Linked DNA regions of Mus musculus. The protein of the gene in region 2 interacts with the protein of the main gene of each other region in a pairwise test. Links are inferred from orthologs where the notes say so. Each region holds a gene or a part of one and is shown on either strand. Other genes may lie near its edges.

The links.
Region 1: the proteins of Tsr2 (region 2) and Rps26 interact in binary tests that used the Homo sapiens proteins (3 or more experiments, as listed by UniProt). The two-hybrid records come from large-scale screens. The link is inferred for Mus musculus from reciprocal best matches to the Homo sapiens genes TSR2 and RPS26.

The regions. Positions count from the first base shown.
Region 1 is NC_000076.6:128,618,111-128,634,237, reverse strand, and holds Rps26 (40S ribosomal protein S26), read left to right. Parts: upstream 1-7,731; 5' UTR 7,732-7,759; coding exon 7,760-7,762; intron 7,763-7,997; coding exon 7,998-8,175; intron 8,176-8,900; coding exon 8,901-9,031; intron 9,032-9,601; coding exon 9,602-9,637; 3' UTR 9,638-9,709; downstream 9,710-16,127. Other genes in the region: Ikzf4 (zinc finger protein Eos), read left to right, coding at 1-190.
Region 2 is NC_000086.7:151,087,671-151,104,116, forward strand, and holds the start of Tsr2 (pre-rRNA-processing protein TSR2 homolog), read right to left. Parts: upstream 8,874-16,446; 5' UTR 8,843-8,873; coding exon 8,759-8,842; intron 8,586-8,758; coding exon 8,495-8,585; intron 4,098-8,494; coding exon 4,006-4,097; intron 3,112-4,005; coding exon 2,926-3,111; intron 2,745-2,925; coding exon 2,610-2,744; 3' UTR 1,239-2,609; coding exon of another isoform or gene 933-1,238; 3' UTR 442-932; coding exon of another isoform or gene 298-441; 3' UTR 1-297. Other genes in the region: Fgd1 (FYVE, RhoGEF and PH domain-containing protein 1), read left to right, coding at 298-441, 933-1,238. UniProt on the Homo sapiens protein: May be involved in 20S pre-rRNA processing.

The DNA.
Region 1 (16,127 bases), on a different chromosome or scaffold from region 2:
TGGTGAGCCAGTGAAGGCCTTTAAGTGTGAACACTGCCGCATCCTCTTTCTGGACCACGTCATGTTCACCATCCACATGGGCTGCCACGGCTTCAGAGACCCTTTTGAGTGTAACATCTGTGGTTATCACAGCCAGGATCGGTATGAGTTCTCTTCCCACATCGTCCGGGGGGAACATAAGGTGGGCTAGAGACCTCTTTCCCCACAGCCTGCTCTCAGCCCGGCCCCCACCCTACTGCCCTACCTACAGGGGTCTAGCCCAATTCCTGTTACACCCTAAGGAGTTTTGCGTTGTAGCCCCACCCACTGGCCGCCTCACTTCACACTTGACTCCAACCGTCTTTGCCTGTTCCCTTCTACCCTGACCGATTTGAGCATTTCGACAAGACAAGTCTCTTGCTTATATTTCTCCTTCTAACCTCTCTCCCCGGCACATTTGCTTTTTAAATTGACTTTAACTTGGCCTTTTCTTAGTTTACTGCAATCTCTGGCCACTCCTTCATTCTTCTGCCCATGGCTCCCTTCTGCTCTAAGCCTAGATTTTTTTTTATTTTATTATTATTATTATTATTATTACTTGTGTGTGTGTGTGGATCCCACATCCTCCAACAGCTCCAGGGGTTGGAAGCTCCTCTCTGTGCTAAGAGACGTTGGGCTTCTTGCTTTAATCCTCACCCTTATTTATCTGACCCTTCACTTTTGATGCTGATACCTCCCAACGGCCCCACCTTAGCTCTGTGGCATTATTATCTCCTCTCTGGGACCTTTCAGCCCGGCACTCCATACCTCTCGTGCCCACTCACTTTAGGCAGCTTGCACTATTCTTAAATGAATGAAGAATTTCCTCATTTGCAGGTAGGAGGGGCTGTAGAAACTCTCCCCAGGCACTGTGGACTGAGGGTCCTCTTGACCTCACCTGGGAATCCGAGCTCCCTAAAGACTACATTCAGGACCTCCCTCTAGGATGTGATACCACCCTTCCCTCTCCCTGGCTCACCCCTCAACACCACTCTGGTCTCAACTCGCCACTCTTGTCAGTTGGTGGCTTTTCTCTCCTTGGAATGCCCCCATTTTATATTCTCAGGGGCTAAGGCTAGACCTGCTACCCTTTCTCTGACACACAGAGAGAGCTGCAGGTACCTAGCTGAGAACCAGGGCATGGGAAGGGGGATGGGTAGAACTCTCTCCTCCACCTTTCAAACACTTACACTCCAGTGACCTTCCTAGGCTCTCAGGGACTCCTTCTGTCCCCATATTATGAGAAACCAGCGGGTTGCTGCTCGATGACCAGGGGTCTCTCAACCCTGTCAGTCACGCTGCCTTTTTCCTCCCTTCCAGCAGGACTCGCCGTCTCGTCCCCAGGCTCCTGGGCCCTGTTATGATCAATGGCAGGGAGAAAGGGGATGTCTCTTTTCTCTCTGCCAATTTTCAGTATAACCAAAAAAACTGTCCCAGGATGAACTACACGTATGTGCCCGTCAACCATTCCACCCTTGTCCCAGCAAGAATGGGACGGACACAGCTGGGAGTCACCTCCACTGCCCTTTCCATACTTAGCTCCAGACACAGGGCAGGAGAGGCAGTCTTCTCTGGTGGTTGCAGACACTCTGGCTATTCGGATAATCGAGGATTCGTGAGACCATGCAGGAGGAGGCATAGCTCCATTGCAGGTGGAAGTCTCTCTCTCTAAAGAGTTCCCTGCCAGGGCCACAACCATCCCACTCTCTGCTTCTTTGAGATTCAAACCAAAGGATGTTTTTTCTATATTTAAAGAAAAGGAAAAAAAAAGAAAAGAAAAAAAAAAAAAACCAAACACAACACCTCATAAGTTATAGTCTTGGTCTTCACCCTCCCTTTCTCTTCCCTTCCGTCCATCTTCCTTCCCACGTGCCCTTTCTTTATCTCTTCTGCCTCTCCCTACTTTCCTCACTCCCTGTTAGGGACGTTGAGAGGCACGAGAAAGGGTGGGCTAGATCAGATCCTGGGACTGGGGCTCTTAAGCATTCCGAAGAGAGTCGACTTTCTCCTATCGGGAGAAGGGTAGTGGGGTGAAAACCACTCTTTTCTCTTCTTCCTTCGGCCCTGGCACTGCTTCCCAAAAGGACCAGATTGGCAGAGAGCAGCTCTGTGGGGCTGTTCTTCCCTGACAATGTAGCAATAAGCAGGTGCTGCCAAAGGCAAGAGAATGAGGTCTGAGCTCTGAAAGGAGTGGTCCCGAGACAAGGGAAGGGTCGCCACAACAGAGCCTTGGCACTAATTCCTTCTTGGGCTGGCACACAGCTGAGGTTACTGTCTGGGCTTCTCCTCAACCATTCTGGTTGTGAGCTCCCATTAGACCCGCTCCCACCTCTTCTGTGTCTGCCCTGTATTCGAGGACACCTCAGAAGGACTTAGTCCCTCTGAGGCGCTAGAGCCTTAGAGTGCCCCACCCCTCCCTTTGTTTAGTCAGTCTTAGCACCTGTGACCTCCCAGGAACACAAAGGACTATGCTCCTCCGAGGCTATGCTAACGCCCATGAGAGCAGAGGTGGAAGGGACAAGACCAGGTGCTAGGGAGGAGGGGGCATGGCGTCTCTCTCCAGCCCACCACTGCACTTTAACCAGGGTCTTAGGTACAAAATGCTACTTTTCAGGGCCTTCCAGCTCTGGAACCTCAAACATCCTCATGCTCTCTCCCAGATCCTTTTGCATAAAAAAAAACAAAACAAAAAAACCAACAACAAAAAAAGTAAAGAAAAAGAAGAAAACAACAACAAAAAACAAAATGCCAAAATCCACACAGAGAAAAGAGGTGTTCTCTCTCTCTCTTTTTTTTATTACTCTTAAAAAAACAACACCACAAAAAAGTGGAGGGAAGGGAGAGAATTTCTAAATAGACACTTTTCCAGACCTTTGTGTGTGTGTGTGTGTGTGTGTGTGTGTGTGTGTGTATGTGTGTGTGTGTGTGTGTGTGTGTGTGTGTGTGTGTGTGTCAGTGTCCAAGCTGCAAGTGGAATTTTATAATACTTCTGGCAGCTTCTTTCCTTGTGTATATAATATATATATATTTTTAATCAGAAATTATGAAGATCAAAAATAGAATAAACACAGAAGCAAGTGCAATACCACCTCTCCTTCTCCCCAGAGTTCCTCTGTAGCCTGTTCGGTGTCCCCTTTGGCCCTTGACCCTTGACCTTGTCTCTCTTCCTCTGGTTCCTGACCTATTCTCCCCTTCCCTCTTTTTAAAGAGTTTTTCTCTTTTCTCAAAGGGGGTTAAACCAGCTTTTGAGACTTACTGCAAAGCATTTTGTATATGTAACATACTGTAAGTAAATATTTGTGTAATGGAGAAATACTACTGTAAGTTTTGTACTGTACTGGCTGAAGGTCTGTTATAAATAAACACGAGTAATTTAACCCCTGTTTGTTCTTGAAGACTCCCTTTCCCTTGTTTTCCTTCTGGGAGGGAGGCAGACTTCATACCAACTATTTCTCTGTTCAAGACTTAGACAAGTCTAAGACTGAGAGGAAACCAGACAACACTACTGAAGTTGTTGGTCTAGCAGAACAGATTTTTTTTTTTTTTTTTTTTTGGTTTTTCGAGACAGGGTTTTTCTGTGTAGCCCTGGCTGTCCTGGGACTCACTTTGTAGACCAGGCTGGCCTCAAACTCAGAAATCTGCCCACCTCTGCCTCCCAAATGCTGGGACTAAAGGCATGCACCACCATGCCCGGCGTCAGAACAGAATTTTTTAAAGGCAGGGCGTCTCTCTTTGTAGCCTGGCTAGTCTGGAACTTAAAGGAATCTACCTGCTTCTGCATCCCAATTTCTGGAATTAAAGGTGTGGGCCACCGTGACTAGCCTGTATTATTATTTTAATTTATTTTAGATTATACTTTGATTATAACATTTCTCCCTTTCTTTCCTCCATATACCTAGCCCCAGTTTCTTTCAAATTCAAGGTCTTTTTTTCTTATTATTATAATAACATAATGATTTATATTATTATTATTATTATTATTATTGCACATATGCATACATGTATATAATATGCATATATTCCTAGATATAGCCTGTTCAGTCTGTATAATGCTACCAGTATGTATGCATCAGTGTTTACCATTTGCTACAGGATAACCAGTTGGTATGGTCTTCCCTGGGGACCTCTCTCGATTTGCCCCCAGCTTTCTCCAGTTGCCTGCACTTCTTTGTGCGGGACTGAGGCCCCATGGGCTTTTCCCTATTCAATGTGATGTGTTCTTTGGTATCATCCTTGTCCAACCTGCATTTGGGCAGTAGTATTGGTAAGATTACATGGGTGTGGTTTCTGATGCTGCAAAGGAGACACACTCTCAAGGCAAACTCCCTGATCCTCTGGCTCTTACAGTCTTTCACCCCCTCTTCTGCAATGCTCCCTGAGCCTCAGGTGCAGAAATGTTTTTGTCATTGTATCCATTGGGACTGTGCTCCACAACTCTGCATTTTGATTGGTTGTGGTTTTCTGTAGTGGTCTCCATCTGTTGTAAAGAGAAGTTTCCTTGATGAGGGGTGAAGTCTATACTTTGTAGGTGTAAGGACAAACGTTTATAGATTGTTGCAAGGGATTATGCTGGCATAGTAAATTAGAAGTCATAGCTTGCCGGGCAGTATGGCACACGCCTTTAATCCCAGCACTTGGGAGGCAGAGGCAGGCGGATTTCTGAGTTCGAGGCCAGCCTGGTCTACAGAGTGAGTTCCAGGACTGCCAGGGCTACACAGAGAACCCTGTCTTGAAAAGAAGAAGAAGAAGAAGAAGAAGAAGAAGAAGAAGAAGAAGAAGAAGAAGAAGAAGAAGAAGAAGAAGAAGAAGAAGAAGAAGAAGAAGAAGAAGAAGAAGAAGAAGAAGAAGAATTTGTAGTAGCTTCTCCTCCAATAGCCATGGCTTCACTAGCACTGAGTAGTTAACTAGCTTTCCATGGTCCCCCTCTCACTGACTGGTTCTTTTGGTTTTTTTAAAGATTTGTTTATTTATTATATGTAAGTACACTGTAGCTGTCTGCAGACATTCCAGAAGAGGGTGCCAGATCTCCTTACGGATGGTTGTGAGCCACCATGTGGTTGTTGGGATTTGAACTCAGGAGCTTCAGAAAAGCAGTCAGTGCTCTTAACCCCTGATCCATCTCTCCAGCCCCTCACTGACTGGTTCTTAAGTCCAACCAGAGAGTTGTTGGTTACTGTGAAAATATGTGTGCCACTACTGCACCTTAGGGTTATATGCCATGCTGGTCATTGATGTGGTTAGTGGGATCATAGCAGGAGAACTTTAGGTTGACTCCCTCAGATGGTGCCCTCTGGTACCAGGAAAGCTAGATTTCAGGGAGGAAATATTCAGGTCAGTTCCACCTCAGGGGTCTCTGGGCCTTGCTTCTGACATGCTTCCTGTATTCAGAAATAGCAGGAACATACCTTCCATCTCAGAGATAACCAAGGGCAACAGGAAGAGGCTGCTGCATGCTTGAGAGTCTCTTGGACAACCCTGGCCAACACCTCAAAAGATGGATTCTCTTTTTGGTATTGTTTGGTACTGGGGTTTCGTTGGGTGGTCTTTAGCTCTCAGAGGGAGCACCATCAGCCCCGGTGAGAAGATGCATTAAAAATATATGTGTGTATTTATTCATGGGTTGATGTGTATTATAGGGTTTCTTGGTAAGTAGGTAATGCAGTATAATTTTTTGTGGCTTTTTACAGAAATGTTTGTTTTTTTCTTTTTGGTTTTTTTGAGACAGGGTTTCTCTGTGTAGCCCTGGCTGTCCTGGAACTCACTCTGTAGACCAGGCTGGCCTCGAACTCAGAAATCCACCTGCCTCTGCCTCCCAAGTTCTGGGGCTAAAGGCGTGTGCCACCACTGCCTGGCAGAAATGTTTGTTATTTCATCCACTTCCTTCTTCTGTATTTACCTCCCTCCCTTTTCCCTAAAGAGGTCCCACGTCCCTATCAGATCAATTGTATACTACTAGTCTCTTTTGCCTTCTTTGAATCTTTTTCGGAATTTACTTTGATCTTCCTCCCTAAGGAACACCTCCCTTCCCATTTCCTTGATCAGGTCACATGTACACTGCCGCTTCCCCCGCTACTGCTCCCCAACCCCCGATCCTGGCAGTGGTTCCACTTTACTCTCCCACTTCTGCAGTTGCTCTAGGATATATGATATGTGAACTCACACCTGAAGGTTTGCAGCTAAGAGCCTCCAATGACAGTGACTTTCCAGGTCTGGGTTACCTCGTTCAGGGTGATCTTTTCTAGCTCCATCCATTTACCTGCAAGGTTCATGATTTATGTGTGTGTGTGTGTGTGTGTGTGTGTGTGTGTGTGTGTTTACAGCTGGACAGCATTCCACAGTGTATATGAACTACATTTTCACTACGTGTTTGTCAGATGTAGGACATTTAGGTTGTTCCATCTCCTGCCTATTGTGTTTGGAGCAGCAATGAGCGTGTCTAAGCAGGTATCTGCAGAGTAACATGTTGAGTCCCTCTGGCATATGCCAAGGAGAGATATGGCTGGGTCATGTGATAGATTTATCTCTTGAAAGTTCTCCACACTGATTTCCATAGTGACTATACCAGATTGCTATCCCACCAACAGTGAGTGAGTCCTCCCCATCCTCTCAGTCATTTCTTGTCAGTTGTTCCATTGATCTTTGCCATTCTGACCAGAATAAGGAAAAATCGCAAAGGTATTTTTATTTTTTATTTATTTATTTTATTATTTTTTTTTTTAAATTTTTTTTTTTTTTTTTTTTTTGGTTTTTCGAGACAGGGTTTCTCTGTATAGCCCTGACTGTCCTGGAACTCACTTTGTAGACCAGCTGGCCTTGAACTCAGACATCCGCCTGCCTCTGCCTCCCAAGTGCTGGGATTAAAGGTGTGCGCCACCACGCCTGGCTGAGAAATATCTTAAAAGAAGAAAGTTCATCTCTAGCAATTAGGGAAATGAAAATCAAAAAAAAAAGAAAAAGAAATTCAAGGTCACACTTGGCTAACCAAATAAGTTCCAGGTCAGCCTGGACTACTTGACTATGTTTCAAAATAAATAACTATCTGATAGACTTGATCAGTTAAATTGTGTTGGTACATACAATGTACTAACTACAGTGCTTCATCTGTGTTAATAGGATCTGGAAATAAAATGGTGGTCCAAGCCCAGCGTGGTGGCCTAATCCCAACACTCGAAGCCTCTATTTGGAAAGACGCATTTACAAATGGTTTATTTCTCCCAGGTCTTCTATTTCTAATTCCTACACTTAGAACACATATTTCAAAGAAATAAATCATGGCGTCTTAAGGTGGTTTAGCGCCGCCTTTAGTCCGTCTACTACGGGCAAGAGAGAACCTCTCCAAGTCGTACTACAACTCCCACAATGCATCTCTTTTGTCCTCCCACACTAGGGAGTGTGCGTCCGAATTCTGGATAACTTCCGCTCTGGAACTATCGTAAACCGGATGTTATAGAGCCTTGTAATCACTTCCTGGTTTGGGAATGTAACATTTTAATCTTCCGCCGGAAGGTTAAATAGTTCCACTGATATTTTTCGTCATAGACCATTTCTAGGGACTTATCACAACCCTACATTTCACAGGAAACTCTAAGTAATTAGGTAAATTCGAGCATAATAGCTGCTAGGGAGTAAATAGAATTACAGGTCGCTGAGGGTTTTTTTTTTCAGCGTGAGCGTAGGAATCTCGTACTATATAAGCGGGTCGGGCAAGCCGCCGGATCCTCTTTCGAGTCTTGGCTCCAAGATGGTGAGTGTCGCCGCGTGGTGAGCGCGCGGGCCTGGGTACTGGGGTAGAAGTAGATCTATGGACGGTAGGGACCTGAAAGTCAGAGTCTTGGAGGAGAAAGTGACAAAGGGTCCGTCCAGCCCGGACTTGGCGTGCTCGGGACTTGTACGGGTCTCTGTCGGGGCTGCGGGCGGCGGCCGGCCAGGAAGGGCTGAATTCTCGCCCCCTTTCCAATAGCGTCTCTTTCCATTCTCAGACCAAAAAAAGAAGAAACAACGGTCGCGCCAAAAAGGGCCGCGGCCATGTGCAGCCCATTCGCTGCACGAACTGCGCCCGGTGCGTGCCCAAGGATAAGGCCATCAAGAAGTTTGTCATTCGGAACATTGTAGAAGCCGCTGCTGTCAGGGACATATCTGAAGCAAGCGTCTTCGACGGTAAGTGAGCCACAGCCGTGATTTGTACAGGGACGAAGAGTGAGGAGGGTGTGTATGGCTCGTTGTCTTCAGCTTGGGGAGAAGGTGCCTTTTGTGGCACAGTAAGCAGGCCTAATGATGGGGTTTTAACTTGGTTTTTCTCTTGGGGTGGAGATTGAGGCTCATGCATGGTAGCCAAACCCCTGCATCCCATCCCTGTGAGAGACTGCCTATTTAGGAGAATCTGAAAAAGCATAATTCTTTAGTTATTGAAAAAAATTGAACAGCTTTTAAAACGGGCAAAGACTGGTTTGGGCAGTTTGTGACTTGGTTTTTGGCGTCTCAGAACTCACTGTGTAGACCTACTCAAGAGATCTTCCCTAGTGCTGGGATTAAAGGCGTGCACCACAGCACCTGGCTGGCTTTTGTCTGTTTGTTCATTGTTTTGTTTTTTTCTTGACCTAACAGTAGTAACCATGAGGCCTGCCAGCAGAGTGAGACTCCCTAACTTGAGCTATTCTCATATTGTGTGGCCCACTTTGGCTTTGAGGATGCCTTGGCCTTTTGAGTGGCAACCTCTAGCCCAAGAGTTGAACTCTTGGTGTATGTTGGGTGTGGTGTTGGTTTCTCTGGTTTTCATTGGGTGTCATTTATCAGTAAAACTTGGAGGTTAGGGTAATCCTGACCAATAGAATAAGAGAATCACAGGAAAGGGCGTCTGTCTAATCTGCTTCTCGATTTCTCAGCCTACGTGCTTCCCAAGCTCTATGTCAAGCTGCATTATTGCGTGAGCTGTGCCATCCATAGCAAGGTTGTTAGGAATCGATCCCGCGAGGCCCGGAAGGACCGAACACCCCCACCACGATTCAGACCTGCTGTAAGTAAATTATTTTAACTTGGGACATACATAGTCTTACCCAGAGAAGTATCCATTAAGGTCTTATTTAGTCTGTGTGGCAGCTACGACCTACATTTAAATTTTAAAAATGCTTGTCTGTTTTGCATAACCTGAAACACTTTTAGTGATGCTAGGTGGGTGGTGGTTGGTTTCTTTGGTTTGAGGTGCTGGGTCCTCAACTTAATGCTGGTAAGTGCTCTACTGTGAACTACATGGGTGGGTGGGTTTGGTTTTTTTTGTTTTGTTTTGTTTTAAGAAGTCTCGCTGGAAGCCAGGCGTGGTGGCGCACGCCTTTAATCCCAGCACTCGGGAGGCAGAGACAGGCAAATTTCTGAGTTCGAGGCCAGTCTGGTCTACAAAGTGAGTTCCAGGACAGCCAGGGCTATACAGAGAAACCCTGTCTCGGAAAGAAAAAAAAAAAGAGGTTTCACTGGCCTTCGCTCACCTAGGACTCTTGATTCTTCTGCCTCTAGAATGCTGGGGTTAAGTAGGCAACCGCAGCAGATCCGAGTACCTCATTTCTAATTTAGCTCATCTCTTGTTTTTCAGGGCGCTGCACCTCGACCTCCACCAAAGCCCATGTAAAGAGGCCGTTTTGTAAGGACGGAAGGAAAATTACCCTGGAAAAATAAAATGGAAGTTGTACTTTACATGGCATCGGAGTGTGTTTATGTCGAGACTCTTGTGTGCGTTTCAGGGGGTCCATAGTGCAGAACTTGGTGCTTTGGGCTCTGTACACCTTATTTTCTAAGGCATTCTCTGCAGGCTGGCCAGCAGTGAGCTCCATGGATCCCGTTTATGCTGCCTGGACTCCCAGCAAGCCATGGGATTACAAGTGTGTTCACTGGGCTCAGCTTATGGACAGGGTTCTGTGGATCACCTGGATCCTTGTAAGACTTAACAAGCCAGGGTTTCTGTTTTTATGGTGCAGGGCACTCACTGGTCCCCGGCCCTACAGACTTTAATGTGACCATAGGATGTTAAAGTTTTAAGCCAGTTTAATTTGTTTTGAGGCATGGTCTCATGCCTTCATGTCTTGCTGGCTTTGAACCTAGATGCCTCAGTACCTGTGAGTCAACCATCTCTGGCTAAGTTGACCACTTAACCTTTATCTGAAAGGAGGCCAAGCTTTGACTGTAGAGCACAGACTGGCCTTCACCCTCTCCCCTCAGCCTCCTAAACACTGGCATTTGCAGGTAGTGAAACACCCACCCACACCCCCACATACACTCCTGGTAGGTACCTGGTAACTTAAGAGCCTGGTAAAAGGTCATTATCATAAAGAGAGGATTTGGAAAAGTTTCAAAGACAATAAAAGTGGGGAGAGGGAGTGGAAGAGATAGCTCAGCAGTTAAGAGCACTCACTGGCTGCTCTTACAGAGGACCCAGTTTTCGTTCCCAGCACCTATGTAGCAGCTCTTAACCTCTGAGCCATCTCTCTAGCCCCTTGTTTGTTTGTTTGTTTGTTTAGACAGGGTTTCTCTATGTAGCTCTGGCTGTCTTGGAACTTACTTTGTAGACTAGGCTGCCTGGAACTCACAGAAATCCAACTGTCTCTGCCTCCCAAGTGCTGGTTGGCACTCCAAGAACCAAGAGACTGGTTCTCATGCCTTGGATCCCAGCCCTGCGAGGCAGAGGCAGGTGGATCTCTGTGAGTTCAAGGCTAGCCTATTCTACAGAGCTTCACCACTACCAGCTAAAGGCATGTACCACCACCCTGTCCCCAAATGTCAATGTGGAGATGCACATCTACAGTGAGGTACACAGCTGCACTCTCCATATTCAGGGTGCTGCAGCGATGGTTCCCATGAATTTGAAGCCAGCCTGGGCCATGTAGTGAGTTCTAGGTCAGCCTCGACTGAAGAGTAATAATGTTTTTTGCTTTTTTTATTTTTGGTGTTTGGTTTTTACCAGACAGGGTTTCTCTGTGTAGCCCTGGCTGTCCTAGAACTAGCTCTGTAGATCCAGGTGGCCTTGAACTCACAGATTCTCCTGCCTCTGCCTCCCAAGTGCTGGGACTAATAATATTGGCTTTAAAAAAAAAAAAGCTAATTTAAAAACAAAAGGGGGAGTTGGGCGTGGTGGCTCACGCCTTTAATCCCAGCACTCGGGAGGCAGAGGCAGGCGGATTTCTGAGTTTGAGGCCAGCCTGGTCTACAGAGCGAGTTCCAGGACAGAGCTATACAGAGAAACCCTTGTCTTGAAAAAACAAAAACAAAAGGCTAGCTTTGAAGTTCCATGTTTAGTGTGGATGGAGGTGCTAGTACCTGCAGAGACCAGAGATGCTGGGTCATATGGAGCTGATAGTTTGTATGGTAGCTGGCTGGATGCTGGGATTTGAACTAGGGTTCTTTGTAAGCAGTTGTGCACTGAGCAATCTCCAGCTCCCTTCATATGAATGTCAAAGCCAGCAGCCCACTCTGTTTAACCTAGTACAAGTGTTACCCTTTCCACTAGGTTTTGTTTGTTGCTTTTTTTTTTTTTTTTTTTTTTGAGACAGGGTTTCTCTGTATAGCCCTGGCTGTCCTGGAACTCACTTTGTAGACCAGGCTGGCCTCGAACTCAGAAATCCACCTGCCTCTGCCTCCCGAGTGCTGGGATTAAAGGCGTGCGCCACCATGCCCGGCTTTGTTTGTTGCTGTTTAAGAGATGTAGTTGAGGGAGGTTTGCTGTAACCTAGAATCCTATCTAATTTGCTTCTGAGGTGTCCACACTAAGTACATAACTGAGTAAGTGTTCAAGGGAGATGGGTCCTTTGTAGGCTGGTGTTCGGCTGAAGTGGAGTCCATTGAGGTACTGGACTGCCTTTGCACACATCCTGATTCTTAGACTTTCCTTCTTGAGTACCCCAGAATTAGTGTGTTTGAGGAAGATAGTATTCATTGCCTACCACTATAGCATCATGTTTTAGTTTGCACATTTAGCTTGTTTTTAAGTTGTTTTATTATACACCGTGTGTATGCAGTGTCCATAGTGGCCAGAAGAGGGTGTTGGGATACCCTAGAACTGGACTCTCTGAAGGCTAAAGGCACTCTTAATTGTTCAGCCATGTCTCTAACCCGAGCTTTTTTTTTTTTTTTTTTAACTGTGAACATTTTATGTAGTGCTAGAGATTGAATTTAGTGCCTCTTGTATGCTGTGTTAGTTAATTTTTTCCAACCTGCCTGAGCTTAGTCCCAACAGAAACAGTTTAAGGGAAGAAGGGCTTATTTTGATCCACAGTTGCAGAATGTGTAGTCCCCTCGTGGCCAGGAAGGCATGGTGGAACTCAAAATGTCAGAGACATAACAGGCTTATATCCATTGCAGTGGACAATAGGAAGCAAGGGCTGGCCAGGAGCTGGGTACAACTGCACACATCTGTAATCCTAGCACTCTGGAGCTGGGGAATTGATAGTTCTTAAATTAGCTGGAGGGTGGGGCTATACTACAGGTAGAATTGTTTGCTTAATGTCTCAGGTATTTCAAGACAGGGTTTCTCTGTGTATCCCTGGCTGTCCTGGAACTCGCTTTGTAGACCAGGCTAGCCTCAAACTCAGAAATCCACCTGCCTCTGTCTCCCTAGTGCTGGGATTAAAGGCGTCCGACACCACGCCCAGCTCAGGGTTCCTTTTGCTGTGACAAAATACTATGCCCAACAGGAATTTGGGGAGAAAAGTTGATTTCATTTTTGACTTCCAGTTCCCAGTCCCTTACTGAGGAAAGTCAGGGCAGGAAGCAGAGACTATGGAGGAGTTGTGCTTACTGTCTTGTTCCACAAGACTTGCACAGCCCTCCTTGCTAACAGCTTCCAGGACCTCCAATCTGGTGGGGATTCTCTGTTGAAGTTCCCGCTTCCCAAATGACTCTAGCTTGTGTCAGGTTGACATTAAAGCCAACCAGCACACTTAATGTGCGTGTAGCATAATCAAAGTGTGGTACACACCTGTAATTCCAGTTCTTGGCGGGGAGGGGTGGAGGTTGGCATTTCAAGGTCATCCTCAGCCACGTAGTTCAAGACCAGTCAGCCTGAAGTACATGGGACCCTCTCACAACAAAAAAAAATAAACTTCCTAACCAGTTGGAACCAACAGTGCTTGCATTTTCCACTAGTGACCTACATCTGATAGTCAAGCTGCCTCCTAAGGCTCCCAGTTCCTAAACGCCTCCAAAAGAGTGCCCCAGATGTGACCAAGCCTATGTGACATGGGCCTATGAGGGAAGGTTCTGGTTGGAATGAGCATGAATCAACCACAGCTGGCCCTCAAGACATTTTTTAAGACTTTTAAATTTTCTGTGTATGAGTATTTGAGCTGCATATGTGTTTGTGTCCCAGCAATGAAAGAGGTTAGAAGAGAGTCATCTGGAACTGGAGTTATAGATAGTTGTGAACCACCATATGGATGCTGGGAACAAGTCTTTAGTCATCTTTGTGCCCCTCGCCTTAAAATTTTTCTATTACATTTATCTACTGTGTGTGTTCATTGTCTATTGAGCCATCTTGCTGGCTCCCAAAGTTTATTCTTGCTATCAGGGATGAGGGAATGTCCGCTTAATGTGTTAGAGTTTGTGACCCCTGGGAAAGACCATAGACTCAATTTAATTATAATCAAAGGATTTATTGATTAGCTCCTAGCAGGGTGACAGCTTTAAAGCTCAATCTGAGGCATGTCATGAAGGAGGGGCAGAGGGAGGGTTTTTAAAGGGGAAAACCACAGGAAGACCTTTAATGTCTATGCAAGCAAGTAGAAACTGGTCTGTTCTCCCAAGTTAAGTGGTTAGGGTAACTAAAAACAACCTTTGGCCAGGCAGTGGTGGCACATGCCACTAATCCCAACACTTAGGAGGCAGAAACAAGTGGATTTCTAATAAATTCAAGGCCAGCCTGGTCTACAGGGCCATAAAAACAAACAAACAAACAAACAAAAAACAACCCTGTCTCAAAAAAAAAACTAAAAAAAAAAAAACAAACAAACAAACAAAAACAATCTTTGCGGGTTGGAGAGATGGCTCAGCGGTTAAGAGCGCTGACTGCTCTTCTGAAGGTCGTGGGTTCAAATCCCAGCAACCACATGATGGCTCACAACCATCTGAGATCTGATGCCCTCTTCTAGGGTGTCTGAAGACAGCTACAGTGTACTTACATTTAAAAAAAAAATCTTTGGGTAGCTGTGTAAGTAAGTTACAGAAGCCAGAAAAGCAATTAGTCATAACAGGTGGGTGGTGTAGCCACAGGCTTTTCCACCCAAGGCCCAGTTTTCAGAAGCTTATTATTAATTAATAAATGCCTAGGCCTTAAGCTAAGCTTGTTCCTCGACTAGCTTGCAGCGTATTGAACCTGTTCATACTATTCTATGCCTGCCACATGGCTGGTACAGGGCTCCAGGGGAGTTGACATGAAGACACCAGGGGAGCAGGAGCAGCCAGGGCAAGACTAAGATGGCGGGTAATGCCACGTGGCTGGCAAGTAGGCCAGGTCAGCATTACTTGGGTTAAAATACCTCAGTATCTGCCCAGCTATAGTGCTGAAGCTAATAAGAAATGGAAGGTCTTCATGTATTGGGCATAGAAAAGCCAAAATAAATTTTTTTGTGTGTATGTGTTTTGTTTTGTTTTTCGAGACAGGGTTTCTCTGTATAGCCCTGGCTGTCCTGGAACTTACTTTGTAGACCAGGCTGGCCTCGAACTTAGAAATCCGCCTGCCTCTGCCTCCCGAGTGCTGGGATTACCACCATGCCTGGCAGCCAAAATAATTTTTACAAGGTAGTCATGCTAAACATTTTTGGATGGGGGATCATTGAGTCAGAGTTCCAGGGACTGGACTCAGAGATGGAACAGTTAGTGGCTGCCACGAAGGATGCTGAGTTTCTTGGTAGGCAGTCGTGGCACACACTTTTAGTCCCAGCACTCAGGAGGCAGAGGTAGGTGAATCTCTATGAGTTCAAGGCCAGCCTGGTCTACAGAGTGAGTTCCAGGATAGTCAGGGCTACAATTAAAAAAACAAAACAAAACAAAACAACAACAACAACAAAAACAATCTTGGGAGGGAAAAGTTTCTTTAACCATCATAAATTAATTAAACTAATGAGTCTTATTAAAGTAGACTGGACCCTTAGATGAAAAGAACAGGGGCTAGAATAAAATAATTTTAAATTTTACTTTATTTTATGTGGCATGGATGTTTTGCCTGCTCATATATGGTTGTGCACCACACATTGTGTCCATGGAACCCAGAAAAGGGCACCAGGTCCCCTGGAACTGGAGTTACAGATGGTTTTGAGACCCAGTGTAGTTACCAGACATAGAACCTGGGTCCTCTGGAAGAACAGCCAGTACTTTTAACTGCTGGGCCATCTCTCTAGCCCTGTTCAATAAATATTCATTTCCTATATGCTTGGGACTTTCATCAGAGACCAAGTCTTTGTTGCACAAAGCCAACTGGCTAAAAAGAGTCAGGTATGAGCTGGAGAGATGGCTCAGCGGTTGAGAACCCTGACTGTTCTTTCAGAGGTCCTGAGTTCAATTCCCAGCAACTACATGGTGGCTCATATAAAATAAATAAACCTTTTTTTTTTTTTAATCAGGTATGGTGGCACATGCAATCCCAGTATTTAGGAGGCAGAGGCAAGTGGGAAATATTTTTTTAAAAACTTGCCAACTCTCAGCGGGGCCAGTCCACACTCCAGCGCTCCTGTCGTGGCTACCAACTCTCTGGGGCTAGCCCCCTCAACAGGTGATCTCACTCATGTGGTCTCTTGGCCTAACAACTCTCCAGCCCTGCGTGGCCATAGGGCTCCCACTGGGCTATCTCTCGGACAAGCCCCCCCTCCCAGTTCCTCTCACTTCCATGCAGCACCCCACACACCCCACAATCAGCCATCTCAACACCTAGTTACCAGTAGAAGCACGATTCTTAGAGCTTAATTATCGAATCAGATTTATATAACAATAAGATCACAATTTACAAGATGTCAATACAATAATTTCAGAGCCAATTGATAATGATAAAAGCTTTACCCCAATTATTCTAACCTTGTGAAAATCTTAGCTACTTGTGGCTGTTTAAAACCACACAGGATCAGGATCTTCTTCCTGTT
Region 2 (16,446 bases):
GTATATTATGAAAGATGAAAAGGGTTAGCTGTGAAAGTCCCTTAGCCTTAAGAGTGGCCAGCATTTCACTGTCCCCACTGAGATCTGCACACCCCTTATACTTGTTGTTAAGAGTCAGCAGCAGCCAAGCCTTGCTTTGTTTTATCTCCATGATGAAGGCTAAATCATTTCAGCTATGATTTGCACAGCTTGGCTACCGTTGTCTGAGACATAGTCCATACACTATGGGGCTGTTAAAGCCAAGAGCAAAGCCTTCCATCAACATTGATGTTCCCTGTCCTGTGTCTCTGATCACAGAAACAGGCCTCGGTCGCTGCTGAGAACAGCGTCATCTGCAGCTTCCTGCACTACATGGAGAAGGGTGGGAAAGGATGGCACAAGGCATGGTTTGTGGTTCCTGAGAATGAACCCTTGGTGCTGTACATCTATGGAGCCCCTCAGGTGTGCATCCCACTCCTTCAGGTTTTTCCAGCCATCTGACAAAGCTGGGCTGCTCCTCTCCTTGTCCTTTGGGGGCAGGGTGAGCCTAGCAAAGGGGAAAATTAAAACCCCTATCCTTATGTGACAGAATAGGTAGGTAGAAGAGTTTGGAGGCCAAGGTATGGGGACAATGAGGGTGAGGTGGGAAGTCTGGCTTTCTGGAGAAAACAGTAGAATAGACAGGCACCTCTAGGTCTGACACTTAAGTAGAACAGAATAGGCAGATAGAGGAACTAGCCAAAGGACTGAATCTATAATAGTTGATTTGGGCATGGGAGGAGATAGCCATGTAAACCAGCCTGCCTTCTAGTCCCAGTTCAGATATCTTCCTGTTCATTACAGTGAAATCAGTGTTCTTCAGCAGAGGGAAACAGCAGAACAGAGCAGTTTGACTGGGCAGAGGATACTGCCTAGCCCCTAGATGACACTAGTTCTCTGTTCCTTCTCTCCAGGATGTGAAAGCCCAGCGCAGCCTGCCCCTCATTGGCTTTGAGGTGGGGCCTCCTGAGGCAGGAGAGCGGCCAGACAGGAGGCATGTCTTCAAGATCACACAAAGCCACCTAAGCTGGTACTTCAGCCCAGAGACAGAAGAACTCCAGCGGCGCTGGATGGCTGTTCTCGGCAGGGCGGGCCGTGGGGACACATTCTGCCCAGGGCCCACACTGTCTGAGGACAAGGAGATGGAGGAGACACCAGTGGCAGCCTCAGGAGCCACTGCTGAACCTCCTGAAGCCTCCCAGACCCGAGACAAGACCTAGAGGGTTTGGGGGGAACTGGGAGTTTCTGCCCCACACTCCAGCTGCCCATGTTCAATTGGGGGCTCCAGCCCACTCCCAATGCAGTCAATACTTGAATTCCCATCAAGGGCACTTTCAATCCCGAATGCTGGGTCATGGGTTTTTTAATTCATCTTTTCACAAAAGGTGGGCTTTTTAAAAAAAAAAAAAAAACTATTCCTACATTGATGTTAATTTTTTAAATCCCTGTCCCCAGGGAGGGCGGGAGCTAATTGCTAGACTCACTTGAATTAGTTTCCTCCCAGTACCCCACTTCCACCCAGCTCCCCACAAAAGTACCAGAGGCAGGAGACCTGGATTCAAGTGCCAGCTCTGCTACTGACCCTGGGACCCCAACCCACCCTTTCCTCCTCAGCCAGTGTCTTCACATGTATGACCTTACATGGGGTGGTGACTAGACCCTTCTTGCCTTTCCCATGGCTTATAGCTTCTACCTAGCCCCAAAGCAATCCAGTATTTTATCGTCCAGATCCATGGCAGGGCCACTGGGCAGGACGGGAATGGGGGAGGGGGGGGGAGGACAATGGATACTGTTTTTTAAAGAAAAATACAGTTTATTTCAGGCATACAGTAACTTTCAGAGCACTGCTATGGTCCGTCCGTTTGTCCAAAGTCCCAGGCTACTAAGGGAGATGGGAGGGTACAGAAACTACTCTCTTGCCAAATTTTGAAGCTCAGCTTGCAGAAAGCTGATTCCAAGGTTAAATCATGGATTAAACAAGAAAATGTTATATGTTATTAAGGTCTTAAGCCTCATCCCTGGACTTAAAACAGCCCAACTTTCTCAAGTTCACCACTTTTAGTCAAGTCCTTCAAACTCTCAAGGGTATTCAAACAGGGAGCATTCCCAGGAGGATGCAAATTCTGGGCAGGATGAGGGTTGTTCTGAGGGAGGCTAGGGTGGGGACATTGGGGAATGTAGAGATGTCTACATCTTTTCTCTCTTCCAACTGTATGCTTATCCTGGCTGGATTACCAATCCAGCCAGCCTACCACTGTGGAATTCTGGTCCTTTCCACAAATGTACCTGCCAGTTTTCCACAAGTCTGGTCTACAACCACACCCACACTTGTCAGCCGTCTTCATAGTCACTGCACCTAGGAGGTACTATGCTGGGAAACCTGCTCTTAGCTCTCATATGGTACCTTAAGATTCAAGGGGCTGGAATAGGTCCCATCAACCCCACAACTAGGGCTTTCCTTCTCCTGAAGGGAAGGACAGGGGAACAAAGAAGGGTTATGGTTTCCAGAACAGAGGTGTATAGCCCCCAAACAGCTCCTATAAGTCTCATAACATTTAACAAACGAGGGCCCAAAACATGTACTGCCCTGCTCATTTCTTTCTCCGGACAATGGTCCAACCGTCTTCAACTATATCCTCTTCCTTAATAGTCTGGGTGTCTGGATCAGAGGGTTGAGGCTGTGGGCAGACCTCGTCAGTTGTGGCCCCATCATTAGTAGCTGTCACCTGGAAGGAAGATACAAGAGAAGTCTCTTAAGTACATTACCCAGGCTCTGCTACTAAGTTTTCCATGACTATGTGAGCTATCCTTGAAAATACCACTACCACCTACAACCGCCATCACTTCCCTGTGAATCTAGCTAGAAAATTAAAAACATTTAGGAATACCGCCCCTCAGTACAGGCACCTCTTTCACCTCCATTTCTTCCACGCTGTCCACATCATCTTCAGCCACATCAGTTTCTTTGGCTGTCATAAGTGGGGTAGCCGTGACTTTGCACTTTTTTTGGTTGATCTGAGAGGTCATCTCCTGAAGAGCAGCCCCATCACCCTTCTGGAAGTGGTGGAACATGGTCTGTAGCTGTTGGCTCACCTACCAAGGAAATAGCCAACCGCCTTAGATTTTTTTTCAGACAATCTACCGTAAAACCAGCCTGTTTACAGCAGAGAAGGGGGTTTGGAATTTTCAGGGCTCTTTTTCTCCCTAAGAAGTTCATCCAAGCAGATGGGCACAGTGGTGGATGCATATAAATGAGAGACCTCAGAGGCAAGAGAATTTTGTGTTTGAGGTCAGCCTGGCCTCATAGTAACACACTGTCAATAAAACAACAGCTGGAAGTGCTGACACATCTTTAATCCCAGCACTCAGTAGGCAGAAGCAAGTAGATCTCTGAGATCAAGGCTAGCCTGGTCTACATGGCAAATTCTAGGACAGCCAAGGATATATAGTAAGACTGTGTCTCAAAAATAAATAAAGCAACAACAAAGTTCATCGAAGCAACCACAATTCAAGGGCTGGGGTGAGGGCGTGAAGCCTTGAATGAGGGCCTCCTAGAAGAGAAGGAAGGTACTAGAATTGACTAAGTGGTACACAAGCTATAATCCCAGTACTTAGGAAGCTGAGGCACACTGACTGCTATGAATTTGAGGTAGGCTGGGCTACACAGTACATTTCAGGCAACCCATGTTAGAGAGTAAAACACTGTCCCCCAAAAAAGAGAAAGGGACTGAAGATGCAAAATGAAAGATGATCTCACCAGGGTAAGCAGTGTTAATCAGAATAGGGATGGAATTTGCTCCAACCCAGCTTGTGGGGTGTGGGGAAAATACTGGTTGAGAATGATCTAAATAGAGAAATAAAGGAATGTTTGAAAATGCAATAGGGAATGTCTGCGCCTCAAGAAAAGAATGATCACAAGAACCTTGTCCCTAACACAGTAGGGAGAAAGAGCAGGCAGGGGGCTGGCAGCTGTCTCCATAAGCTCACCTGGGGCAGACTCCCATCTTCCACAACTGTATCAAACTCAGTGGTCATCAGCTCCCCAAGAAAATCTTCTATCTCTTCCAGCTCCAAGTCAGCTAAATAGGAAAGGACAGAACCCTTTAACCAAAGGCCAACTTCATCAGCCCTCACCATTCTTCAATACTTGCCTGCTATATCTGGTTAGCAGGTAAAGGTCCAGTGACCCCTTGTTCACTGAAACACCCTCTTTTACTTGTCTATTCTAACCAACCTCAGCTAGAGCGACCTTGAGCAAGCTGCTCCTCTCAGAGCCTTCAGGAGGGTTTGTTGAGAGGACTCATTTACACAGTGCTTGTCACAAGGGAGATAAAATCCCTAATATTAATATGCATCACTTCACAGCTGAAGTACTGAAATGTGGAGACCCTTCACAACTGTGGCTCCACTAATACAGGAGTCCAGAGATTCAAGGGCAATGGGTAAGAAGAAATGGACACGGGACTTCATTGATTTTTGGTGCTGGGGATCAACCCCAGGGTGAAGCACATGCTGGGCAAACAACTACTGAGCTACAGCCTCCGCTGCATGCACTACTTTCAAGACTGAAATCATAACCTCAATACTGCCTTCAGACTTTGGAGCTCAGTTATCTTCTGGGCCAATGGTCTATCTTTCCTAAATGAAAGACTAGCTTTCTTTTCCCTATATGCCTTCTCCCAGACATAGCTCTTCCACACTTCTACTTTTACCTACCATTCAAATCTTACAGCCTTAAAATTTGTCTTCCGGGGCTGGTGAGATGGCTCAGTGGGTTAGAGCACCCGACTGCTCTTCTGAAGGTCCAGAGTTCAAATCCCAGCAACCACATGGTGGCTCACAATCATCTGTAACGAGATCTGACTCCCTCTTCTGGAGTGTCTGAAGACAGCTACAATGTACTTACATATAATAAATAAATAAATCTTAAAAAAAAATTTTGTCTTCCACTCAGGCTAATTATGTGTCCAAATGTTAAACAGGTCCCTATATCCAAAGCCAGGTTTATTATCCTGCCTTCCAAACCAGCATCTCATCCTCCAAGGTTCCTCTATCCAATGAAAGGCTTCTATCTACCCTGCCACTCATCATAAATCTCTTTTCCAAACCCCCTCTATTGATACTCTCTTTTTCTCTGACCATTGCCATTGTCCTACGTTAGACATTATTTTCTTTTTTCTTTTTAAGATTTATTTATTATATGTAAGTACACTGTAGCTGTCTTCAGATGCACCAGAAGAGGCCATCAGATCTCATTACGGGTGGTTGTGAGCCACCATGTGGTTGCTGGGATTTGAACTTCGGACCTTCAGAAAAGCAGTCGGGTGCTCTTACCCACTGAGCCATCTCACCAGCCCCCTAGACATTATTTTCTATACTAACTACTTTCTGAATTTTCTAGCTAGCAAACACTACTTACTTACCTTAGAACCTGCTCATGAATTTTATCACCTATTGTGAAGCTTGCCTTTAGGAAATATTTTGCTGAGTTTCAGGGTTTTGTTTTTATAACAGGTATGTAGCCCAGGCTAGCATCAAACTCACTATATAATACAGGGTTAGCCTGGAATTCCTCCTGGTAATTGATTATCCTCCTTCCTTCACCTCCCAGTGCTAAGATTACAGGCATGAATCACTATGCCTGGTTAATGTGGCTCTAGGGATTGAACCCTGGACCTCTTATGTTAGATAAATACTCTACCAATTGTGTTACATTCCCAGCTCAATTTTGCTGAGTTTTACGGGAAGATCTCCATAAAAAGCTAATGGAAAACAGAGTCAGGACTGATGGCACACACCTATATAACCCTGCACTCAGGAAAATGAGGCATGAGGAACATAAATTCCATGGCAGCCTGAGCTATAGAAGGAGATACTGTCTCCAATTACTACTACTACTACTAGGAATAAAATAGCAGCTGGAAGAAAAAAGCTTCTATAATTTGACTGGAGAAACATTTTCTTCATTGAATATCTAACGAGACAAGTCTTTTATAGCTTGAATTTTACAGACACTGGCTTTCTATCTCTATAAGCAAAGTCACAGAAGGCCTTTTATCTCTTACCCTTTAGTCAGTGTCTCTGTACACACACACACACACACACACACACACACACACACACCATTCTCTACCACTCTTCCATCCCCTTAATATAATGCACTTAACTCCTTTGAGTACATGCTTTATCATCTCTACCTAGTTTCCCCCTTTTCATTCCTTAGGCCTCACTCTAATCGCTACTCTTAAGAAGGCCTCTTACTGACCAGTGGTGGCGCGCACACCTTTAATCCCAGCACTTGGGAGACAAGAGACAGGTAGATCTCGGAGTCTGAGGCCAGCCTGGTCAACAGAAGAGTTCTAGAATAGTCAGTGCTACATAGCGAAACCCTGTCTCAAAAAAAAAAAAAAAAAAAAAAAACCCAAAAAACAAAAATCAAATCAAAAAGGCTTCTCCTCAGGCTCAGTTAACTGAAGAATTCTGAGCTCCTCTTTAGCATAACACACACCACCCAGTATTTTAACTATTCATTTACTTACCTGAAATCACTCACTAGATTGTAAATGTTGAGCTGTGAATCTGCCTAATACCATCCTCAAAACTAGGATATTGGGGGCTGGAGAGATGGCTCAGTGGTTAAGAGCACCAACTGCTCTTCCAAAGGTCCTGAGTTCAAATCCCAGCAACCCCATGGCGGCTCACAACCATCTGTAAAGGGATCTGATGTCCTCTTCTGGTGTGTCTGAAGACAGCTACAGTGTACTCATATAAATAAAATAATCTTTAAAAAAACCTAGGATGTTAATGAAGAGTTAAAAAAAAACAGCATGCAATACTCTAAGTCCTCTTGTTCTTTTATACCCCACCAAGACAAAATGGAAGTGTAGAACTTTTGTGTAGAAGCAGCAGCATGTGCTTATCGAGCACAAGCACTTAGAATGTGGCTGGTCACAAATGAGACGTACTAAGACTTTTAAAATTCCAGATTGTGCCGGGCGTGGTGGCGCACGCCTTTAATCCCAGCACTCTGGAGGCAGAGGCAGGTGGATTTCTGAGTTCAAGGCCAGCCTGGTCTACAGAGTGAGTTCCAGGGCAGCCAGGGCTACACAGAGAAACTCTGTCTTGAAAAACCTAAATAAATAAATAAACTCCAGATTGTGAAATTTAATACTAAAAGTGAAAAATGCTTAATTCTTATGACATACTAAAATATTTTGGAAGAGGATTTTTGTTGTATTTATTTCATGTGCATGTTGTTTTGATTGCCTGTGTGTGCACTGTGTGTACCTGGTGCCCAGATAAGGACAGAAAGATGATATCAGAACCCCTGGAACTGGAGTCATAGATAACTATGAGATACCATGTAGGTGCTGGGAACGGAACCGAGGTCCAATGCAAGAACAAATGCTCTTAACTGCTGAGCCATCCTTTCAGCCCTGTGTTACTTATTTGTTAATTACATGTATGTGCATGCACATGTGTACAGATGAGGAACATTTTGGATCCTCTGGCGCTGGAGTTACAGGTGGTTGTGAGCTGAGAACCCAACTCAGGTTAGGAAGAGCAGGACGCACTTTTAACAGCTGAACATTTCTCCAGCCCCTTCTTTTATCATAAGGACAACTTGGGGATATGGAGCTTGAAACTTAGAGCAATTCCCCTGTCTCCGTCTCCCTGGTGCTAGAATCACAAACATGGCCCATATGCTAGACCTTGGATATGAATTTAATAACACTATAATATTTGCTTCTTTCATTCATTTATTCATTTGTGGTAGTATGAGTAGTGTAGAGCCTCACATGTGTGTAGTAAGCAAGCACTTCCATTGAGCTATATCTCCAAGTCTTTATATTATTTTTATTATGAGACAAGGTTGTGGTGAATCTGAACTTGAGGTCCTTTTGCATCAGGAATATGAGAGTACATGCCTGCACCACAGGGCCTGGCTGCCTTTTATTTATCAGAGGTACTGCTTTTAGTTTTGGTGGCACCAGGGTTGGAGCCCAGGGACACGAGCAGACTAGGAAAGTGCTCTACCACTGGGCTACACTCCTCACCCAACAATTTTAAAATTATATTTACTTGTGTAGGGAGAATCAGAGGACACCTTAAGCGTGTACCAGTTCTCTCCTTCCATGTTGTCCCAGCTATGAAATTCGGACTGTTATGCTTGTTGGCCTTTGTCCACGGAGCTGTCCCCCACCCCTCATCCAGCAATTTTAAGTTACAAGATATGACTCGAATAGTTCTTTTCGTCGGATCTTTCCATAACCATTTTAGAAAGTAGGAAAATGACTCTCTGGAAGGCAAAATGCGTTCTCCAGCATAATAGCATTTGAGTGTCATTGCCTCTAAGGCACTCTAAAGACACAATTCTGATCTCAAAGTCACGATTCATTCATCAAACGCGGGCTCTCTACGTCGAGGCTCTGCCACGCCACACTGCGACAGACAGCAACACCTCACATTCACTCACCATTGGCGATGAAGTAATCCTCCACTGCACCCCCTAGCCACTCGGCCTTCTCCTGGCTGTGCACGCCCCCGAAGCCATTCTCCACAGCGATCTGTGAACACAGGCCCAAGCCAACCATGACAGCATGGAAACCAGAACGGCGTGGCCTGCCGGGGCCTGGGAGTCTGCCGCTTACACCGCCCAGCCATGGCTCTGGCGCCTCGCCTGGTCAACTTCTATTTTGTCACAGCCTTAATCGTGACCCCCCGCCAGGACCTCACTTACCTGTAAAGCAGGCCAAGCCTCCAGCGCAGCTCGGACTGCAGCTCCGAAGAGCACACGCACATCTTCAGCGGCGCCCGCCATCATCCGTTTAGATCACGTGGCTCCCAGGCAGCCCAATCGCTAGGGCGACCTCACCAGGCAAAAGGAGCCAAAAGCCGATTCTCAGAACGTGGTTTAGTTTTCTGCCAATCTGGCTGGCAGCAAGACCAGAACAGTGGGAAACGCCATCAGTGGTAGATGCTACCACTTACCACAGTAAATCCTAATAATTAAAGGAGAACCTGGAGCAGAGTACTTAGGAAGCATAGCTGAAATAAAGAGGAAAGGAGAAAAGAATAGCGAGGGCGAGAAAACCTACATTTGCGAGGCTCAGCAGATAAAGGCAATTGCCTCCAAGCCTGAAGAACTGAGTTCAGTCCCTGAGCCCTACAGGATGGAACTAGAGAACCGATTTCTGCAATTTCCTCTCACCTCCACATGTGTTACACGGCATTCACAGGCGCAGGCACTCCCACACACAATAAATAAATGTAATTTTAATTTTTTAAAAATAATTATTTTATATATGTGAGTACACTGTCACTGTCTTCAGAGACACCTCAGAAGAGGGCATCGGATCCAATTGCAGATGGTTTTGAGCCACCATGTGGTTTCTGGGACTTGAACTCAGCTCAGGACCTCTAGGAAGAGCAGTCAGTGCTCTTAACCGCTGATCCATCTCTCCAGCTCCAACAATTCATTCTTGAGTCAAATATGAGTGACCATGTCCAGGATTCAGGTTGTCCAGAAAGATATTTTCTTTTGTGGAAGTGGTCAAATGACATTTTAGTAGTTACAGAACAAAGAAAGTCCTAAGTCAAAGCATTTACTAAATCTATTGATAGAGACTACAGGTAGTGGGATGAGGAAATTTCTGCTTAGGTTTCAGATACTGTCTGATGACATTCTTAGCTTTTGGATTCATAGATGCTCGCTGTTAAGTATGTATTTGAAAAGTTGTGATAACCACGAGATTTCTCGTTCAGATTCAAGGGAAGACAAGGAATTGTTTTCAATGGGATTAAAAGTAGCTCAAGGTCATTTGTCTCTCCTCTGTAACATTTTTACTCACCCCAACCACAAAGCTCCGTCATTTGGTCCTATAGAACGGTCCATACAGATGTACCTGTTCTTTTCTCTAGGAACTTCAGTTTCCACTGTGTAGCCATGTCTGGTATTGGACTCTTACCACACTCTCCTAAATTCTAGGACTAATCACACACCACCACACTTAGCACAGAATATAGATTTTTCTGAAGTTCACAAGAACATTCTCCAAGACACACCATGTAGTATTCCACACAACAGCGTTTAGTATGTTTTAAGGACTAAGGGCTGATAATGTTTCTATCTACCTTGCCAGCATACTGGGGTCCTGGAGTTTCATCCCAAGACCACAAAAGAAAAAAAAAAAAAAAAGAAAGACTGCAAAGCAAAATTAGAAATTAGTAAGAGAAAGAAACATGTGAAATCCATAAATTTGTGTAACCTTATGGACTCTATTTTATGGAAATAGGTCAAAGGACAAAAACAAAGGGAAATTGGAAAACACTATGAAATGAACCTTGAGTGTTGTAGCTGAAGTACTTAGGGGACACATTTTTAGCTTGCAACAAAAATGTTTGAGCTGTAAATATTTAGAAAGAGCCCATGGGGGAGATACAGCCCACCACTGCCCTCAGCAGTCTGAGGAGTTCTGTCCTCCTTCAGGTAAAGCCAGGCCTTTGATTACACTGCAGGAAAGAGGTTCAGGATAAGCCAGCATTGTGATATGATCATCCAGTGTTATCTGATTGTTAGGATCATTATGATATATGATAAGCAAAGTTAATGAGATTTAACTACAAGCGTTTAGAGAACACATTAAGCTCTGTAAGCATTTAGAAAAAGGAACAGTTAGCAAAGGAAGCATTTGTTCTGCTAAAGGAACACACAGCAATAAAATGACACCTAATGACAGTCTCCTATACCGGTAGATCAGTGCCTCTTTCAGCCACCATCAGAGAAGCTTCCTCTTGCAGAAGCCGGGAACCAACATAGAGACCCACAATGTATTGAGAGTGAGAAGCTCTGGTCTTAAATGGAATGTATTCATGAAAGCCCTCTTCAGAATCCCACAGAGGAGAAGGTGGAAAAGATTGTAAGGGCCAGAAAAGATGGACGACATGAAGGAAATAAGGCCTTCTAAATGCAAGAGGACTGATGCACACAGGAACTCACAGAGACTGTGGCAGCATGCACAGGGCCTGCAGCAGCGTAAACCAGATGTGGCTCCCGTGCTTAGAAGGGAGGTAGATGCAAGCCCCCATCCTTAATCCGGAAGGTACCTCCAGTTAACTGATTGAAAAGGGGAAAAACTAGTTTTCTCACTGGGGATACAAACCACTCTTACAGGCAGGCTCTACACGCAGCAGTAGATAGCCAACAAAAACTGGACTCAATGGTATTTTTGTAGACTTCATCTGGTGTTGCTTTGTTTGAGCTTTTTTTTTTTTTTTTTGTCTACTGGCCTTTTGCTTGTATACTACAGTTTCTGATTTTGTGGTTTGTGGGTTTTGTTTTGTGTGTCTGTGTGTCTATGTATTTCCCAAGCTTTTTCTTTGTTTTTTTTTTTTTTTTTTTTTTTTTTCGAGACAGAGTTTCTCTGTGTAGCCCTGGCTGTCCTGAAACTCACTCTGTAGACCAGGCTGGCCTGAACTCAGAAATCCTCCTGCCTCTGCCTACTGAGTGCTGGAATTAAAGGCGTGTGTCACCACTGCCCAGCTGTTTTTATTTTCTAATTCTGTTTTGTTTGCCTGTTTGTCTTCTAGATGGAGAGAAAGAAAGGACATAGAGGGCTAGGGGATGTAGCTCAGAGATAGAGTGTGTGCCTCGTATGTGTGAGGTCCCAGGTTCAATCCCCTGCATCTCCAAGCAGTCATCAATCTGTTTTTCATTCTTTCTCAATAAAAAGATTTTCACTTGTACATTTTGCCGGGCATGGTGGAAAGGTGAGTTCCTGGACAGCCAGGGCTATACAGAGAAACCCTGTCTCAAAAAGAAAAAGAAAGGACATAGAGTTGGGCAGGTGGGAGAGAAGGATTATCTGGGTGGACCTATGGGAGGGGAGACTACATGTACGTTCCTGACCAGATAGCCCAGTGAGTAAAGTCACTTTGCCACCAAGCCTGACTATCTGAGTTTGATCCTGGGGTTCCATAGAATGGAGAGAGAAAACGACTAGAACCAATTGTCCCCTCCCCTCTACACATGCCCTATGCAATGTCTCTGTGTGCCCATGTACAGATACACATACAACTAACCACAAATGTTCTTAAAGTGTCAAACTGAGGCATGAGATACATTCATGGCATCTCAGCACTCAGGCCGCAGAGGCAGAGGCAAGAGGATGAAGGCCACTCTCAGCTACATATCTGTGTAATGAGTTTGAGGCCAACCCGATCTACATGAGACTGTCACAAAGAAAGGAAGGAAGAAAAAGAGAAAGAAAGAAAAAGAAAGCTAATAGTGCAAGATTAATAAAAATAAAATATACATTTTTAAAATAAAGAAGATGGAGCTGGTGTGGTGGTGTTTGCTTCAGCACCTGGAAAGTAGAGGCAGGTGGATCTCTGTAAGTTTGAGGGCAGCCTGGTCTGCATAGTGAATTCCAGGACAAGGGTTACATGAACCTTGTCTCAAAACAAACAAAAGGATTGGAGAGATGGCTCAGCATGTGCTCCTTTTGCAAAGGACCCAAGTACACATTCCAGCTCCCACATGACAGGTCACAAGTGTCTGTAATTTCAGTTCCAGAGGATCCAGTGTAGTCTTCTGGCCTCCACAGGCACCAGGCATGTACTCAGTGCACATACATACACACGGACAAAACACTCACGTGCATAAAATAAAAACAAACCACTAAAAACCCCACAAATTTCAGCTCTGAGCAGACAAGTCAGGCTACACAGCTGATGCTAACTTATAGTCTCCCACTGCCGCTGAGCGGGTGAGCAGAGTAAAGCATCTGCCATATTTGGTGATAGGTCATTTGTGACTTTGACAAGTGCAGGTTCTGTAGAATGATGCAAAATGAGACTGGAGTCGATTGAAGAGGAAATGGAGGGTGACGAAGCACCAAGACATAGTTGGAAGAGTTTGGCACAATTCAGAGCAGGTTCTTTATTTCTATTTTTATTTTTTTCTTGAAACAGGGTCTCATGTTGCCTAGGCTGGTCTCAACCTTGATAAATAGTGGAGGATGGCTTTGAACTCCTGATCCTCTTGTCTCTACCTCCCAAGCACTGGGATTACAGCTCTGAACCAATGTGTCCAGCTGGAGTCTTAGTTGTGGAAGATACTGGAGCATGTGCTGGTGGCTCCAAAAAGAGAAACTGGTGGTACAGAGGGCATCAGAGAGTACTGAGAGAGCTATGTCCTTCAATGATTATGAAACAGACATGGAAGCTGGCATAGCAGCACACTCTTGTGATCCTTGCACCTAAGAGACAGAATCAAGAGGGCCAGAAGTTTAAGGATGCAGAAGTCTGGAGGGTATAGTCTTTGACATGAGGTGGCACAGTTCTTCATGGGAGAAGTCAGAGGAAAAGGAATTTAGGTGAAAGGAGTATTGTAGGACTGCAGAGATGGCTCATCGGTTAAGAGCACTGACTGCTCTTCCGAAGGTCCTGAGTTCAAGTCCCAGCAACCACATGATGGCTCACAACCATTCATAATGAGATCTGATGCCCTCTTCTGGAGTGTCTGAAGACAGGTACAGTGTACTTACATTAAATAAATAAATAAATAAATAAATAAATAAGGAGTATTGTAGATTGAGTGAAGAGATAAGGAAATACCCATTTGAATGTGTCTATTTGTTCTTGTTTGTATCTTCTGAGACAAGACTAAGTTGCTCAGACTAGTAGGAAATCATGATTCTCCTGCCTTGGCTGAGGTTCCCAATACCAAGCTAAATATGTCTATTTTATTTATTAATGTAGTAGTAGTAGTAGTAGTAGTAGTAGTAGTAGTATTTTGTTTTTCTGAGACAGGGTTTCTCTGTGTAGCCCTGGCTGTTCTAGAACTTACTCTGTAGATCAGGGTGGCCTCAAACTGAAGAGATCTGCCTGCCTCTGCCTCCCCAGTGCTGGGATCAAAGAGTTTGTACCACTACTGTCTGGCATGGCTGCTCTCTTAAAGTTAGGGGAGTCCACCTGAAACCCTTGATTATTGGAAGATCTGAAACCAGGCACCATTCGTGCGAGGTAACAGCTGGATGGAGGGGATGGATTCTGTCTGTAGTGTAAGTGATGCAGGTGCTCTATGGCTTCCCTGCTTCTCACTGTTCCTTCCCTATTACTGTAGTCAGTCTCGGTCTATGGAAAGCTTCTCACTTGACACACTACCCAGCTTCTTTTATTTATTTTTAAATATTTATTTTTTAATCATTCTCTCGCTCCTCTCTCTCTCTCTCTCTCTCTCTCTCTCTCTCTCTTCCTTATCCCCACCCCACACTCTCTCTGCTCTCTGGTGATTATGAACCACTTAGCAGGAATTCTGGGAACTCTGGTCCTCTGGAAGAGCAGCAAGTGCTCTTAACCACTGAGTCATCTCTATGGTTCCTCTTTTATTTTTAATTTCAAAAAATTAAACTTATTTATTTATTTATTTTAATTTTTTCCCAGTGTGATTTTCTGTTTTATTTTTGTTTTTTTGGGTATTTTCTTCATTTACATTTTAAATGCTATCCTGAAAGTCCCTCATACCCTCCCCCCTTATTTTAATTTTTAAAAAGGATTTATTTATTTATTTATTTATTTATTTTGTTTTCTTGTTTTTTGAGACAGGGTTTCTCTGTGTAGCCCTGGCTGTCCTGGAACTCACTTTGTAGACCAGGCTGGCCTTGAACTCAGAAATCTGCCTGCCTCTGCCTCCCAAGTGCTGGGATTAAAGGTGTGTGCCACCACCGCCCGGCAGATTTATTTACTTTTATGTATGTGAGTACACTGTCACTGTCTTTAGACACACCAGAAGAGGACTTCGGATCCCATTACAGATGGTTGTGAACCACCATGTGGTTTCTGGGAATTGAACTCAGGACCTCCAAAAGAGCAGTCAGTGCTCTTAACTGCTGAGCCATCTCTCCAGCCCCATGTATTTATTTCTGTATGTATGTTGTGGATGTGTGTGTGGTGGTCTGAGAATTATCTTATCTCCTTTGACTCTGGGTTCTCAGGATCAAAACTCATGTCATCAGGCTTAGCAAGTGCCTTCACTTGTTGAGCCACTTCACCAGGTCCCCTTTCCCCCTTATAGACTATTGCATTCATCTTTCTTCTCAGTCTAAAGAATTGTTTCCAGTATCTTCTGGAGAGCTGGCTTAGTGGACATAAACTCTTAAACCTGTTTTTCTTTTTTTAATCATGGAAAGCCCCCCTTTAATTATGTCGGTTTTGGGCTGGTGAGATGGTTCAGCGGTTAAGAGCACCGACTGCTCTTCCAAAGGTCCTGAGTTCAAATCCCAGCAACCACATGGTGGCTCACAACTATCCGTAACGAAATCTGATGCTCTCTTCTGGAGTGTCTGAAGACAGCTACAGTGTACTTACATATAATAAATAAATAAATATTTTAAAAAATTATGTCGGTTTTGCTGAGAATAATCTCAGGGATTGACAGCTGTGATCTTTCAGAACTTGATGCACACCATCCCAAGTCCTACTGGCTTTTACATTTTTTTTTTGAGAAATCAGCTGTTGTTCTGATGAGTCTGTCTCTGTATAACTCAGTATCTCTCTCTCTCTCTTGCAGTTTTCAACCAATATACTATGTTTGTTTTGTATAGCTAGTGTTTAAATTATAATATGATGAGGAAGTTTCTTTTCTAGTCCTGTTTGTCTATAGAATACTAATTCTGGACAGACATCTCTCTACTTAGATTTGTTTGTTTGTTTAAGGCAGGGTCTCACTTTAGTCCAGAATGACCTGGAAGTCACTCTGTAGCTTAACCTATCTTTGAACTCACAGTGATTCTCCTGGCCTTAGAACCCCCAAATGCTGAAGTTTCCGATATGACCCACCATACCCAACTTCTTTCCCCATATTTGAGAATTTTCTGTTAAGATTGTATTGAAGACATTTTATGTTTGCTTTTTCATCAGTATTTCTTTTTTTAAAAAGATGTACTTTTACTTTATGTGGATGAGTGTTGCCCTGCATGTCTGTATATGTATACTGCCCACAGAGGGCATAGGAAATTGTCCAATTCCTTAGAACTGGAGTTATGACAGTCTGAGCCACCTTGTGGGTACCAGGAATTGAACCTGGGTCCACTGCAAGAGCACCAAGGGCTCTTGACCATTAAGCCATCTCTGTAGCTGCACACATCAGTATTTCTACCTCGTTGTTGAATTCCATTTTCATATCCCATATGTATTTCCTTATTTTATTCAGATGTTTGTGTTCTCTTAGAATTCATCCAGGACTTGTGTTTTCTTTGATCTAATTGAACATATTTATAAATCCTTTTTAAAAATTCTTTGTGGGGACTGGAGAGATGGTTCAGCAGTTAAGAGTACTAGCTGCTCTGCCAGAGTTCAATTCCCAGCAACCACATGGTGGCTCACAACCATCTGTAATGGGATCTGATTCCCTCTTGTGGTGTGAAT